Linked DNA regions of Mus musculus. The main gene of each other region encodes a partner of the protein of the gene in region 2 in a complex. Links are inferred from orthologs where the notes say so. Each region holds a gene or a part of one and is shown on either strand. Other genes may lie near its edges. A codon is read from its position in the direction of its gene.

Region 1 (4,461 bases), on a different chromosome or scaffold from region 2:
GGAAATGGAGTTACAGGTGACTGTGAGCTGTCATGTGGGTACTGACAACAAATCTGGGGCCTCTGAGAAAGCAGTCAGTGCATTTAGACACTGACCTACCTACTTGGAAGAAGTTCTTTCCCACCAAAAATAGCTGGGGCACAGTGGCACACACCTAAGAGCCCAGTACTTGAGAGGTTGGGGAAGCAGAAGCAAGAGTTCAAGGCCAACACTGGTTACATACTAAGCTTCAGGACACTCTGTGCTACTCAAATTGTTAAAGGAAAACCCCAATATACCTAAAACTATTGACTAATCTGCAGAGGAACTCTACAGTTTGTTCCAGGAGTGCTGGTGGCTGGTTCTTATAGAAACATACCTCCACTCTACACCTTCCATGGAGAACCGCGCCTTGAATCCTGGATCATCCGTAGGCAAGGCTGTGCATGTGACTGTTTCCCAAAAGCATCATCGAAATTGGATTTCCACTGTGGTTGTTAAAACTGAAGCCTCCCCACCCCCTACCCTCCACATTCCTATTTGTTCCATGAGGTCTGAGTCAAGGTAAGGAGGCAGGAGAGTAGGAAGCAGCCCCTGGAAGGCAAGACTGGATGCTGCTTTTCACTTACAATGAGAAAGAAAGTACAAAGTGAAACATGGATGGAAGAAGATAGCTGAAAGGCAGAGGCAAAGGTAACCATCTTCTACTCTCTTAATGGAAGAACTCTCTTCAGTAGATGTGACTGATCTGTATTGGTATGAGGAGCAGATGGACTTGGGAGCTATGGCTACTGAGTGCTGAAATAGATGTTAGACTTTATTGTATATGCGAAGAATGAATGATCAGCAGAGAGGCAGAAAAGTCTAGTTTCAATAGTGTAGTTAAAGTAGTCAGGAGTGAGGAAATTCTGGACCAATGAATGAGGTGACTTGCCCATTGTCCTTACTCCACTTCGAACTGCCCTAAATGCACAATTTATGATGAACAGAATTTTATTTGGTTGTTTTCTAAAGTCAAGAAAGTCTAAGGTTGAAGGGACATGTTCTGGTGAGGGCCATCTTGCTTCATTTGTCTACAGCAAGAGAGGGATCTGGGAGCATGACACAGGACAGGAACGCATGTTTTGTCATATGGAAGTCCTAACATGACTTACTTCTTTCAGAGAAAGAATGGTAGACAGAGGGGAGACAGGTGATGAGGTTGGGAGACATAGACATCTCACTGGTTTGGCCTATGTGGAGCCCTACACAGTAGCATCAAAGTGGACTGGTACGTAGGGGTTCCCTTCACAGGCCACAATGATGTGCTTCTGGTATTGAGTGGTCTTGTAGTCACAGTTGGGATACTTGGAGTTGCCCTTCAGGTGGCAGTCAGTGATGTGCAGGGCAGAGCTGCTCTTGTAGCAGTTGCTCTTCCTGTTCTTGCAGGTGACATTTTCCTGGGAGCAGACAGCCTGGACATCTGCCAAGGGCTCATGCACGAAGGTGTTCACGGGCTTGCATGACCCATTTGTCATATCCCGGCGTTTCATCATTTGGTTGCAGTAGGTGGGGCTGTTGATGGAGGAACCATCTGGATCCATGTGCTGCCGCTGAAACTTCTGTGCTGCAGATTCCCTGCCCAGGGAAGGCTGGACCCATCCAAGCAGCAGGACAAACAATGGAAACAGAATGAGGGACTTCTCCAGACCCATGGTGGCTTGGCTGCTCGGAAAAGCCTGAAAGGAAAGGAAGAGAAAAAAAGGACAAATGCTCAGAAGAGCTGCAGCACCCACCTCTGTCTCCACAGAAGACTCTCCCACCTCAGCTTCCTTACACATTAACACCCCCAGCCTCCCCAGCACAATCTCCCCAGACTCCCCAGCACTCCCTCCACCACTACCCTAGTCCCTGCAGCCACCAGCATACGCCCCAATCTCAAGACTGTCCCATTCTTTAGGTGAGCCAGAAAGATTTCCCTCTGCTGAGAGATCCTGCAAGTGAGACAGTTTTTCTTCATTACCTACTGAAGAGAAGCCATTCTTTTCTCTAGGTGGTGGGCTGTGTCTCCTAAACTCTTGGCAAAATGCTCAATAGGGTTGGGTTTTTTTTTTTTTCTCATATAAAATACATTTGAAAACTAGAGCACATTTGTAAATAGTGTCCAAATACCTCGTCAGAAGGTCATTTGGAAGACGCCTTAAGCTAAGTTGTATTTCTGGGTCTTTACTGACATCCAGGACTGTGGCTGTAGTCTCATTATCTTATGACATAGGGGAACTTGGTCTAGTGCCTGACTCTGGCAGTATACAGGGTTTGGGTTTTAGTCTAAAGACACGTGCTCCCTTCCCCAGCTTGGGAGCTCCATCCTCCCCGACCCACTCGTTCTTTATATCTGACTGTGCCATGCCTCCACCCCTGCCTCCAGCTGTTTGCTGGGCTCAGCTTTTCTGGAGTTGGTGTCAGTCAAGAGTGCCTGGCCTGGACTCTCTCAGTTCTAACTCTCAAGCAGAAATAGTTACTGAGGCCACTTACCTAAAATTTTAGTTTGAACTCCAAGACGAATTGGAAGTCAGTTTCTTCAGTCACACAGTCTCTGTGGTGTGGAGTTTAAAAGGATTCCAAGGGGTTGGCTTCTAAGAAAAAATGGGCGGAGTAAATCTGGGTCAATCTTATCTGAATAATAAAAACAAGGGCATTGAAACCTTGGAAAGGAAATCCCCAGAAGGCTGCCAGGAAAGAGAAAACACCTTTTGTGCCTCCTGTGCTGATTCCCAAGGGGCAGCAGAGCTAGCCACAGGGACAATGGCACATACACTTCACAGTCTTTCACAAAGCCTTGTAATTTATGAGCATGCTGTTTGCATCATATACAACCTGGAGGTTAACAAAGGACACACAGAGATCCTGGGAATCATGGAAGAGGGAAGCCCTCCTTCTCTATTTGAATCAAATTGATGGTAGTCAGAATTCCAGATCTCCCAGCCGTGCTTCTCTTGGGGAGAAAATAAGAGGCCGTCCTGTCTGCAGCTTGAAGGGTTCCCTACTAGTGGAGTTGGTAGGGTGAAAGTCTGGGTTGTGGCAGACTTGCCAAGCCAAACTCAGCCACTCATCCTCAATAGACCAATTATCGACAAATAATATCAAAAAAGTGGAAAAATACAGTGCATTCAATGTGGCTAATTGGGAAAGGGAGTAAAGAGAGTCCAGTGAAGGGGCTGGAGAGATGGCTCAGTAGTTAAGAGCACAGACTACTCTTCCAGAGGTCCCGAGTTCAATTCCCAGCAACCTCATGGTGGCTTCTGGTGTGTGTCTAAGGACAGTGACAGTGTACTCATATACATAAAATAAATAAATAAATCTGAAAAAGAAAAAAATTAAAAAAAAAAAAAGCTGGGCAGTGGTGTCTCATGCCTTTAATCCCAACACTTGGGGGGCAGAGGCAGGTGTCCAAGAGTCCTGTGAAGGGTCCTGACATGAGCTTTAGGCTTAAGTGGATGACAAAAGGCATTTATTATATAAATAATCAATCAGGATCAAAGTTTGGCCCCACCCATCACTGACTCATCCCTGGCTTGACTCCAGTCTGTCCTACAAGGTGGTCAGACAAGTTGTCAGACTGGTATGAAAGCTCTTTCTAAGACACAATTCCCTCTCTGACTAGCACAAGGCCCCTCACAGTCTTTCTTTCCCTAGCATGAGACTCCTGGGGAAATTCTTCTTGTTGTTCGCGGTTGTTTCTTTTCAACAGGTTCAGCCTTCAGTTAAGCATGTTAACAAAAGAGGCTTATCCAAGAGGACGAAAGCCCATGTCATCATCCATCATCCGACTCCCAGTTTCTTCCTTCTTTGCTTCCACTTTCTTCTCTGAAGTGGCAGCAGTGGTGGAGGGGGCAGGAACAGCCTACCAGTCCCTACATTGCAGATGAAACTTCATGTTGACCTTGGCCAGGGCCTTTGCAAACAAGCCAGACCAGAACGGTTCAACTAGCTGCTTTAATAAGGGGGGCTGTTGATCTTATCCTGTGACTGTCACCTCATCACCAGGCAGGATGAGAGAGAGCAGATGCAGGAGAGCTCAGAGAGTCCTGTGACTATGAGGACTGCCAGTGTGGTACTAGTCTCTGTGTGAAGTGAGGGCCTCATCCAAAGGCATCTTAGCTTCCTTGAAGTCTAGCATGTTGGCGGCAGCTGTGGGATGCCTCAGGAAACTCTCATCAACTGAGGTCTGTACCGGATAGTTTTATGTCAACTTGACACAAGCTCCAGCTATCTAAGGAGGGAAACTCAATTGAGAAAATGCCTCCATAATATCCAACTGAAGGGTACTTCCTTTATGATCAAGAGGGAAGGGACCAGCTCATTGTGGATAAAGCCATCCCTGAGATGGGGATCCTGGGTTCTACAAGAAAGCCGGTAGAGCAATCCATGGGGAGCAAGTCAGTAAAAAGCACCCCCACCCCTGGCCCCACGCCCTCTGCATCAGCTCCTGCCTCCAGGTTT
Region 2 (5,156 bases):
CGGTCCCGGCCTTGGTGGCCGATCCACCCGAGCCGGTCCCCACTGCCCAGCCGTGCTGCTGCCTCTGACACAAGCGTAGGTTGAAAACTACAAGAAACTCGTGACTGAATGGCTCCAAGGTGAAGTACTCTTGCATGTAGCGACCAGGCTTGCCTGTATTCCACTTGAGGATTAGTATCGAAGCTGAAATAGGTGAAGTCCAGTTTACAAATAAAGAGTGAGGGCCATGTGAGTTTCCTTGAATGGCCTTGTAACTGATTACCCTGAAGATAGTTTCCTAAAGTTTTTAATCAATGTACTAGGATCCTGCCCCACCCCTTCTGCGTGTCCCACTGCCCTAGAATCAGATCTGCATGGCTATGACATGCTGGCCGTTTTAAAGATGCAAAGATTTCATGCTAGATCATTAGAATGTATCTGGACTTCAGTTAGGACAAGTTCTTTGCTAGTAACCAGTCACGTGTTAGCAATTGAGGTGTGTTAACCTGTATATTGTTGCCTATGAGTAATTTTCCATAATCTTTAATAAAGGCTTCCTGTGTTAATTCTAAAAAAATAAATAAATAAAGATTATGCAAAACATCTTCATGCCCACGAATAGAGAAAGTACTATTGGAACACACCAAGCCCATCAGGTGGCCCCAAGCTACAAGAACCACCCACCTCCACAACAGAGTACTGCCCTCCCAGCCAGACCCAACTGGTCCCCAAGGTTGCTCCTACCTGACCACTTCGTATTGCTGGATCAGAGGAAGGAGCTCTGTCCACCGGGCATCACTCAGCTGCTCACACTGGATGTCAAGACTCATGGTGGGTGCACAGTGCAGTCTGGGCAAAAGAAGAAGGAAGAGAGCTCTTGAGAAAATTTCTTATCTCGACAGGCTAGAATTTGTAAAAAGATGAGTCCAAAAGTTAAGAGAGTATTTTTTTCCAGTAGGGGCCCAGCCTCTCCCCAGCAAGTCTGTCCACACATTGAGTATCCCGGAAATAAGTTATCAGGGAGAAGCTAACTACATGGTACCATTAAGAGGAGCAGAACCTGAGAGCCTAGGACTATGCGACACAGTCACCCCCTAGCCTCTGAAGGAACCCAGTCACCCAGCACCAGGATACCAACTCTGGCCTGGAAACCTGCTTATTTGTGGGAGCCTGGCTACGGTCTGGAAACTCCAGTAGTGGGGCTTACTGCTGATTCAGCCTACTTCTTACTCTGAGAACAAGTTGGTCCAGCACCATACTCTACTGTTGCCAAGCCCTATACAAAGTCAAAGGCCAGGGAGCATGAAGCCTGGACACAAGCAACCACCTTAAGGGCAGGAAGGCACAGGACTCTGGGGGAAAAGGAGAGTATTCAGAGGCAGTCACTATAGCTTTTGCTTCTGTGACTTCCTTCTGAGTCTAGGGACTCAGGCCAGGACCAACTTCTCACAATCCTCAGCCAGCTCAGGCCCAGCCTGCAAAGGATCCAGGCAGTGTATCACACTAGGAAAGCTGGGACAAACAGGTTACAGGCTCTGACAACCTGAATAAGCATGACAGGCACTGGCTGTGGAAGGATGTATCTGAGGCCTAGAGACAAATACCCATGTCTCCACATTCCTAAGCAACTATCTGTCAAGCAAGCTAGCCTGGACAGCATGTGGGTATCCTGGAAGGCTTGAAAGAAGAGATCAGTGCTGTGCTCCTAGCACTGAAGGGAGAGCGGTACTAGGTTCTGTTTAAGAGAAACAGAAGTCACTTCAGCTGCTCTCTATAACAGTTACCGAAACTGGCAAACAGCTCTGTGTGAAGTTACAGTGCCTGGCACAACATGGCTTTACTAACGGGGTCTTCCCCTTCCTTCCCAGGGCTAGGAGGATACCCCCTTAATGCTAACCAGGAGCACTTTACACATATTGACACAAGGGCTAGTGACAGGGAAAACTGAGGCAACGGCAGAGATAACTCACTGTGGACATATAGCCAGGGCATGGAGAAACCAGTTAGCCCCACCCACAACTCGCCAGGGAGTAAAACCAGCACTGCCTGGATCAGATGTGTCATCCAAAGCCAGTCATCACTAGGGCACTGCCACTGGGGTGGGGTAGCTACAGTACTTCTAGTCACAGGTGCAACCCACACCTGCTCTCTTATGCACTACAGACTACAGGGTCCTAGAGTATCTACCTTTGAGGAAAGCACAGGACTGGACTTTATGGGAGGCAGGGTGCCAGCCAGTCCTGACGATCATCTGAGGTCAGGGGCAAGGGATGTGAAAGAACCCAGGCAGCTGGTTCTTCTCCCACACTCCTCCCCCTGTTTGGCCTTGGGACCAGGCAGGAGGTCCCACCAGCCTGGCTTAGAAGCATGATTCAGGCCTCTGCTTTGATGTGATTGGATATTGCTAACTAGCTGCTCCTAGCTGTTGGGTTAATCCTAGGATCTGAAGACACCCTCTTTGGGCCTTAAAGTGAGCGAGCGAACAGGTCGCTGGCGACGGAGCTATGAGGTCAGCCTTCAAGCACCAAGCAAGGCTCCTCTGAGGCACAAATGTGTCACCCTAAGGGAGGAACAGGCCTCAGAGACTCGCCGGGCCCGTGATCCCGCCCCCGCCCAATTTTTTGATCCCTCAAACCTTCTGGTCCAGCCGCTCTGCCACGTATTAAGAGGGCCAGGAAGGGACCCGAAAAAAACTCTCAAAGGCAGCCGGGCGCCCCGGAACATGGCCCTTGCTCACCTGGTGCCGCTGCAAGAGGTCCCAGACGATCCGTTTTCTTCCGCCCAGGGCGGGGCGTAGAGACTTTCGCCGCTTCTCTTTCTCTGGCCCCAACTAGCCTTTCACTTTGCCTACTGGAGACCGCCCACTAGGTCTGTCCCTCCCACATGCAGGCTGCACTTTGGGAACAGAACTTGACAAACCTGAGTCACTTCTTTGAGCCTGACTAAAAATACGTAAAATGATCCACAGCTGCCACGAAATGGGTGTGACTGTGATGAGAGCTTCTGGTATGAACACACCCATCTCTCCTACAGGCCGACCAGGTTTTCATGGCTAGAACAGTGTTCATTATGAACAGCCTTTCTCCCTGGGGATAGGGCTTGGGATGTCGAGAGCCTCTGATGCATGGGGCTCTCAAGCATTTCGTCACTAAGCATTTCTGATATTTGTCTTAAATATCGTTTATATATGAATGCTTCATCTGCATATATATCTGTGCATCGTGCCCAGGAAGGCCAGAAGAGGGTATCAGATTCTTGGGGAATGGCCACCATTCAGGTGTTGGGAACTACACCTGGGTGCTCTGGAAGAGCAGTGTCCTAAGCCATCCCTCCAGCCCATGTTTAAACTTTGTAACATACTCCCAAGTTATAGGATTTGCTTTTGGTTTCTGTATTTTTGAAATAAGGTCTTGATGTGTAGCCCAGGAGGGCCTTGAACATGCAGATTTGCTTCCTGAGTGCTGGGATTCTAGCACTGTGGAAAAAGTCAGCATTGAGAGTTTGTCACTCAGGAGCCCTGCTCTCTTGCACAAATGGCCACACACACCCTTGCCAAGGAACTGGCATCCATCCACCTAAGTGTTTGTTAAACACTTGTCATTTGCCAGATGCTGTTCTGAGTCCCTCCGGGAACTTTAATAATACAAGTAAAGGAGAGTCTAGCAGGCCAGCATAGGAAATCAGGAATTGTGTTCCCTAAAAGACCTGGGACAGGGAGCCCTGAAGGGAGAGAAGGAGGCAAAGAGACAGGCAAGAAAAGAGGCTGGAACTCAGCTTCATAAACCCTGTGCAGTGGCCACTACAGACAGAGCTTAATCTTCATCGCTGCAGAGCCATCCTCATGGAACCAATACCAACAACTGACCTGTGAAGTTGGGGATCAGTTCTTTGGGGAAAGATTAAAGCCTGCCCAATTAGAAGGAAAACTTTGGCCAGCCAGCCTTTATTTGTTGCTGCCATGAAGGAGAATTCCTGAAAAGAAGCTGTATCTACAGAGACTGGCTGATTAGAGTTTCAGTGCTGTGGAGAAATTGGGCTGGTGCAGTTCCAGAGGCTGCCTTATCCTGGGCTAGTTCTACCCCTCTAGAACAGCTCTTCCTTGCCTACCTGTGTTGCAACTAATATCTTGTGATCAGGCTGGCCTACAACTCACAGAGATGTGGCTTCCTCTTCCCCCTGACTGCTGGTAGGAAAGGCAAGTGTCACCACACCCAGCATCCTTTTGGAATCCTTTAGCAGACCAGTAGCTTCCACTAACCAAAAGCCAAGAATGTCATCAGTTGGCATCTTGGACTTACAGAAAAGCTTCCTTCCTCTTGTTGTACCAATCTCTCTGATGTACCCTTCAATGTACTTAAACTTGCCTTGTTTACTACTATTTTCTTCTGTAAAACTACAAAACGTCATGAAACTACCTCCATGGGAACACAGAATCTGGAGTAACCTAAATCTGTGTTCTCAGGCCATGGTCACTAACAATGACTCCAGAATAAACTATCTCTTATTCCTTTTAAGGTGAGAGCTGTAGTTGTTTTCATGGATACTGAGTACCCACAGACAAATGGCAGGGGCTACCAACTTAGGAGCCTGGGTTCAGGCAAGCCATGTGGCTGGCAGGTACAATGAGTTTCTAGCACCATACCAGGACCTCAGAACAAACTAAAGACAAGCACCTGCCTTCCTTCTACCAGCATGAAAGTGAGCTTTCTACAAAGACCACACCCAGTGAGGAAGGGTGAGAAGTGAAGGGGGCAAGGGCCCCTGGGTGCTGAGTTTGCACAAACTTTCCTGGAAGCTGTATGGGAGAACTCATGTGGGTGGGTGGGTAGGTGGGCCCCAGTATAGTCCTGAGGATCCTCTTAGGAAGCGGCGGAGATACTGGGTGAAAGGGCAAAGAAAGGTTTATCTTTTGGAGGCTCCAAAAGTTTCCTCCTGCAGACACTTGACTTTTAATTTCTCTCCTGAATTGTGAAGAGACAGCAGATATGAAACTGGCAAATTTTTTTCACAACTGTTACAATAGGGGGGGGGTGCTTTTTGTTCCTTTTTTGTTTTATTTTGGGTTCTTTCTTTCTTCCTTCCTTTCTTCCTTTCTTTCTTTCTTTCTTTCTTTCTTTCTTTCTTTCTTTCTTTCTTTCTTTCTTTCTTTCTTTCAAGACAGGGTCTCACTGTGTAGC
Region 3 (3,560 bases), on a different chromosome or scaffold from region 2:
CACTTCCTCACCCTGTGTGGCTGGTTCTCTGGTTTCACACAGTCCCAGCTTCCGCTTTCCTATTCCATGTATTCTACTCCCCTATTTTACACTTTCCGTAAGATTTCATCTTTGCTTTTCATCTAAATCCATGCATATTCATACATATAAGTATACACACACACACACACACACACACACACACACACACACACACACACACACACACACACCACTTTTAAAAATCCATTGAGGTGGAGAGATATCTCAGCAGTTAAGAACACTGACCGCTCTTGCAGAGGACCTGCGTTTGATTCCTAGTTCCCAAGTAGCTAACAATCATCTGTAACCCCAGGGTAGGCTCTCTCATTATTCATCTCTTTCCTGTGCAGATTCCAGTTCCCTTATCTTGGAGTCTGTCCTTCTGGTTTGTGTTGAATGTTCTCACAATTGATCTCTAAGGACAGCTATGCAGGGAGAGGGCAAGGGATAGCCTCACTGAGAGATCTCAGCTCCCTGACTTCCTCTGCCAGCCACTTCTTTCCCACAGAGAAACTTCAGGTAAGATGCTGTGTGGGAACTTTCAGGAAAGATGTCCATCTCTTCTCAGATTCATTTGTTTCCAGGCACTGGGTAGATGCCTCAATTGGTATGAGGCCCTGCCTCAACACACACACACACACACACACACACACACACACACACACACACACACACACAAACACACTCTTCTCTGTGTATGTCTCTCCCTGTTCCTTTCTCCCCAACCCTGTCAGACACAGAGATACCAGAGATCTAGATTTGTATGCAAATGTGTTTATTAATTAGAAAAGATCTATTCAGCTGAGTTAAAGGGAGTCAGGGACAGGTTTCATGAGGACAGGTGCTGATATGCAGCGCAGACAGAGGAATTGGTTCTTCACTACTATGATCTTGGCAGTAGCAGATGATCGAAGGTACAAAGTGCTGGCACTGGAGCTAAAATGTCCCATCCAAGTGAACTGGAACCACTGGATAGATGGGACAATCCCATGCAACTCTGGGCTCACAGGCAACTGTGTAGTACTCCACTGATCCCTTTGTTTGGTATCTGCATTGGGTATAATTTCTTCTCGGAGTTGTGAGGTTACAGACAGTTATAGGTACCCGAGACGAACTATTATGACAGTTTTGACTTATTTTGTCGCTGCACAAGCCACTTGGATTGCTACACACACCAACAACATTAATAAAACTTGTATGAAGAAAAGTATTTAAGCCCTTACATCTTGGTCTATGCATGTTAATAGCCTGCATTTCAACATTACATTGGAGGTTGGCTTTATAAGTGATATGCTGGGTAGCAAACCACTGGGATGCGGTTGGTTTCTGGCATGAGGCAAGCATTAGGACAAGTCCCAGCATCAGCAGGAGACAAAGTTGGGACTCAAGCAGCTTCGGACCCATGTTTCCTGTGAGGACAGAAGAGAAGTGACTACTCCCACGCTACCTCAGTTTTCCCTATGTCTTCCTGAAGGCCCTCTGCTGTCACTGTGGGTCCACAGTGACACTTTTCCTGGACTCTGCCCCATCACCCGCCTCTCCTGTCCCAGGCCTAGATAGTCAGTGTCTTACCCAGTCTGTGTTGTGGCTCCCGTGGAACTGAGCACTGGTTGTCCTGGAAATCAGGGATAATGGGTGAGCTCTACTTGGGCCCATAGATATACAGCAGGCTCTGTGGGTGGAGCTGGTGGCTCAGAGTCTTCAACATGCAGAACCCACAGATTGGTACATTGCCTGCTTGTGTAACCAGCCTTCTGTTTCTTCACTTGGCCAAGCCATGGTGCTGCTGGCTCCATTGTAAAGAAGAAATTCCAAGCCCTCTTGTGCAGGTCAGTTTGAAGTCTAAATTTGAACACTACATAGAAATCTCTGTATTGCCTGTTGACTGTTTTCAGTAAGGGACAGACAAGTTTCCTATTAGCCTGACTACACACTTTTAGAAAGTCTTGGGAAGCCTGAATCATAAGAGATATTTACCTTTCTGTCTTGCATCTTAAAATTATATGATGTTGAGGTCTGCAGAGATAGCTCGGTTGTTAAGAGTACTTGATGCTCTCCAGAGGACCCAAGGTTGGTTTCAGCACCTGTGCTGGATGGCTTACAATTGCTTTTAACTCCATCCCAGGACATCTCATGTCTTCTAATAGCATCTTTTGGCATGTTCATACACATGTGCACAGACACACACAGAGACACACAAGTAAAAATAGGTCTTAGAGTTCAGTGAGATGACAGTGGTTAAGAGAACTTCCTCTCTTCCAGATTCCTCCCCTTCCAGAGGACCCCAGTTTGTCACCCAGAGGCCACAGCTTGTGATAACTCTTGGTCCATGGGAATTGGACACCTGTTTGGCTTTTGTTAGTACCTGCACATGCATGGCACATGTGGATGCAGACACATGTGAAAACTAAAAGATAAACTTTAAATATTGCATATAGAAACAATAACAAAACACTGTAGTCACGGCATAGTTCATAGTATTTTTCTGATTGTTTCCTGTATAAGATTCCTTTCTACATTTCCATCTACCCTCATTTGTTCCAGAGCTACTACTGATGGTCTAGTTTTACACCATGGACCCTCAGAAGAATACCTCTTTATCTAAGATGCCGGAGTTACTATAAGCCAATGTTTAAAAAGATGCAATAACCCCAACAGAATTTTTGTTTCTGTTTTTCTTTGTGCTGGGGTTTGAACCTGGGGCCTTTTACAATCTAGAGATATGAACTGCCACTGAGGTACATCCCTAGCATCACATAGAGAGAGAGTTTTGGCTTCCATAGTTTAAATGCCTAAGTTTTTTTGTTATGCAAACCTCCCTTGCATTCCCATCCACTGACACATCTCCAGACCTGCTCCCAGTTCTGTTGTGAAGTACATCATGAGTTATATCCTAGTAGTAAGCCCTTGGGTTTTTCTTTCCAAATTTGATGAATATCATAAGGTATGGTCTCAAGAAATACTTCTGCACTTGACCTATAAGCTACAGTGAATATTTTGCTGTCCCAACTGATAGATTTTTTTTTTGAGACAGGGTTTCTCTGTATAGCCCTGGCTGTCCTGGAACTAACTTTGTAGACCAGGCTGGCCTCGAACTCAGAAATCCGACTGCCTCTGCCTCCTGTGTGCTGGGATTAAAGGCGTGGGCCACCACTCCCGGCTGATAGATGTTTTTTGTTCAGATTCAATTGGTGAGACATTGTGTCCAAAACTTGGAATTTCTTCAAACCTGGGATCCTCTTACAATGACTACTGTTGACCTACCTACTGACTGACAGATGCCCATTGTCAGAGTAGTATTTGACACAGCTCTGCCAAGTGCTCTGGCTGTCTATGGAAATGACAGTGGACAACATTTATAAAATTGTCACAGGAACCCGTTTTTTTAGGGACTGATCTTTTGCGGGGTGCTAAGGAGTGTGGAGTGTGAGTAAGCCTGGGTTTGGTTTGAACTTGCTTAGAAACCCAGATTGGATTCAAATTTTTCTGTCCTGCCTCAGGCTGGAAGTTCTAGGGTCCCTGGCTTGCACTTCCAGACC

Evidence for each region. The genes of interacting proteins can lie anywhere in the genome.
Region 1: the proteins of Rnh1 (region 2) and Rnase1 are in contact, whole or in part, in a crystal structure (PDB 3TSR), measured with the Mus musculus proteins. Residues at the interface, in NP_001165571.1 of Mus musculus: Cys7, Asp32, Thr60, Asn89, Asp117, Glu145, Tyr146, Asn174, Glu202, Trp257, Trp259, Glu283, Ser285, Trp314, Lys316, Glu340, Glu397, Ser401, Asn402, Gln426, Val428, Tyr430, Asp431, Ile432, Tyr433, Trp434, Thr435, Asn436, Glu437, Arg443; in NP_035401.2 of Mus musculus: Arg26 (codon at 1,598), Glu27 (codon at 1,595), Lys32 (codon at 1,580), Gln36 (codon at 1,568), Pro48 (codon at 1,532), Thr49 (codon at 1,529), Gln53 (codon at 1,517), Lys56 (codon at 1,508), Arg57 (codon at 1,505), Met60 (codon at 1,496), Asn62 (codon at 1,490), Gly63 (codon at 1,487), Ser64 (codon at 1,484), Cys65 (codon at 1,481), Lys66 (codon at 1,478), Pro67 (codon at 1,475), Val68 (codon at 1,472), Asn92 (codon at 1,400), Lys94 (codon at 1,394), Asn96 (codon at 1,388), Leu111 (codon at 1,343), Lys112 (codon at 1,340), Gly113 (codon at 1,337), Asn114 (codon at 1,334), Ser115 (codon at 1,331), Lys116 (codon at 1,328), Asp121 (codon at 1,313), Ala134 (codon at 1,274), Glu136 (codon at 1,268), Val143 (codon at 1,247).
Region 3: the proteins of Rnh1 (region 2) and Ear6 are in contact, whole or in part, in a crystal structure (PDB 2BEX), measured with the Homo sapiens proteins. The link is inferred for Mus musculus from reciprocal best matches to the Homo sapiens genes RNH1 and RNASE2. Residues at the interface, in NP_002930.2 of Homo sapiens: Gln11, Cys12, Arg34, Asp36, Asp37, Arg64, Ser65, Gln93, Asn94, Asp122, Gln148, Glu150, Tyr151, Thr176, Lys205, Trp262, Trp264, Glu265, Trp319, Lys321, Gln347, Ser349, Asn350, Trp376, Ala378, Asp379, Glu402, Asp404, Asn407, Cys409; in NP_002925.1 of Homo sapiens: Lys28, Trp34, Trp37, Gln41, His42, Ser47, Gln49, Thr51, Asn52, Gln55, Val56, Asn59, Gln61, Arg62, Arg63, Cys64, Lys65, Asn66, Gln67, Ser91, Asn92, Arg95, Asn97, Asn111, Leu112, Thr113, Thr114, Pro115, Asn119, Ile120.

The regions. Positions count from the first base shown.
Region 1 is NC_000080.6:51,144,223-51,148,683, forward strand, and holds Rnase1 (ribonuclease pancreatic precursor), read right to left. Parts: upstream 2,546-4,461; 5' UTR 2,494-2,545; intron 1,698-2,493; 5' UTR 1,674-1,697; coding exon 1,224-1,673; 3' UTR 780-1,223; downstream 1-779. UniProt on the Homo sapiens protein: Endonuclease that catalyzes the cleavage of RNA on the 3' side of pyrimidine nucleotides. Acts on single-stranded and double-stranded RNA.
Region 2 is NC_000073.6:141,165,960-141,171,115, forward strand, and holds the start of Rnh1 (ribonuclease inhibitor), read right to left. Parts: upstream 2,978-5,156; 5' UTR 2,717-2,977; exon of another isoform or gene 2,704-2,716; coding exon of another isoform or gene 2,615-2,703; intron 829-2,614; coding exon of another isoform or gene 810-828; coding exon 724-809; intron 1-723. UniProt on the Homo sapiens protein: Ribonuclease inhibitor which inhibits RNASE1, RNASE2 and angiogenin (ANG). May play a role in redox homeostasis. Required to inhibit the cytotoxic tRNA ribonuclease activity of ANG in the cytoplasm in absence of stress.
Region 3 is NC_000080.6:51,851,863-51,855,422, reverse strand, and holds Ear6 (non-secretory ribonuclease precursor), read right to left. Parts: upstream 1,656-3,560; 5' UTR 1,594-1,655; intron 1,431-1,593; 5' UTR 1,426-1,430; coding exon 958-1,425; 3' UTR 780-957; downstream 1-779.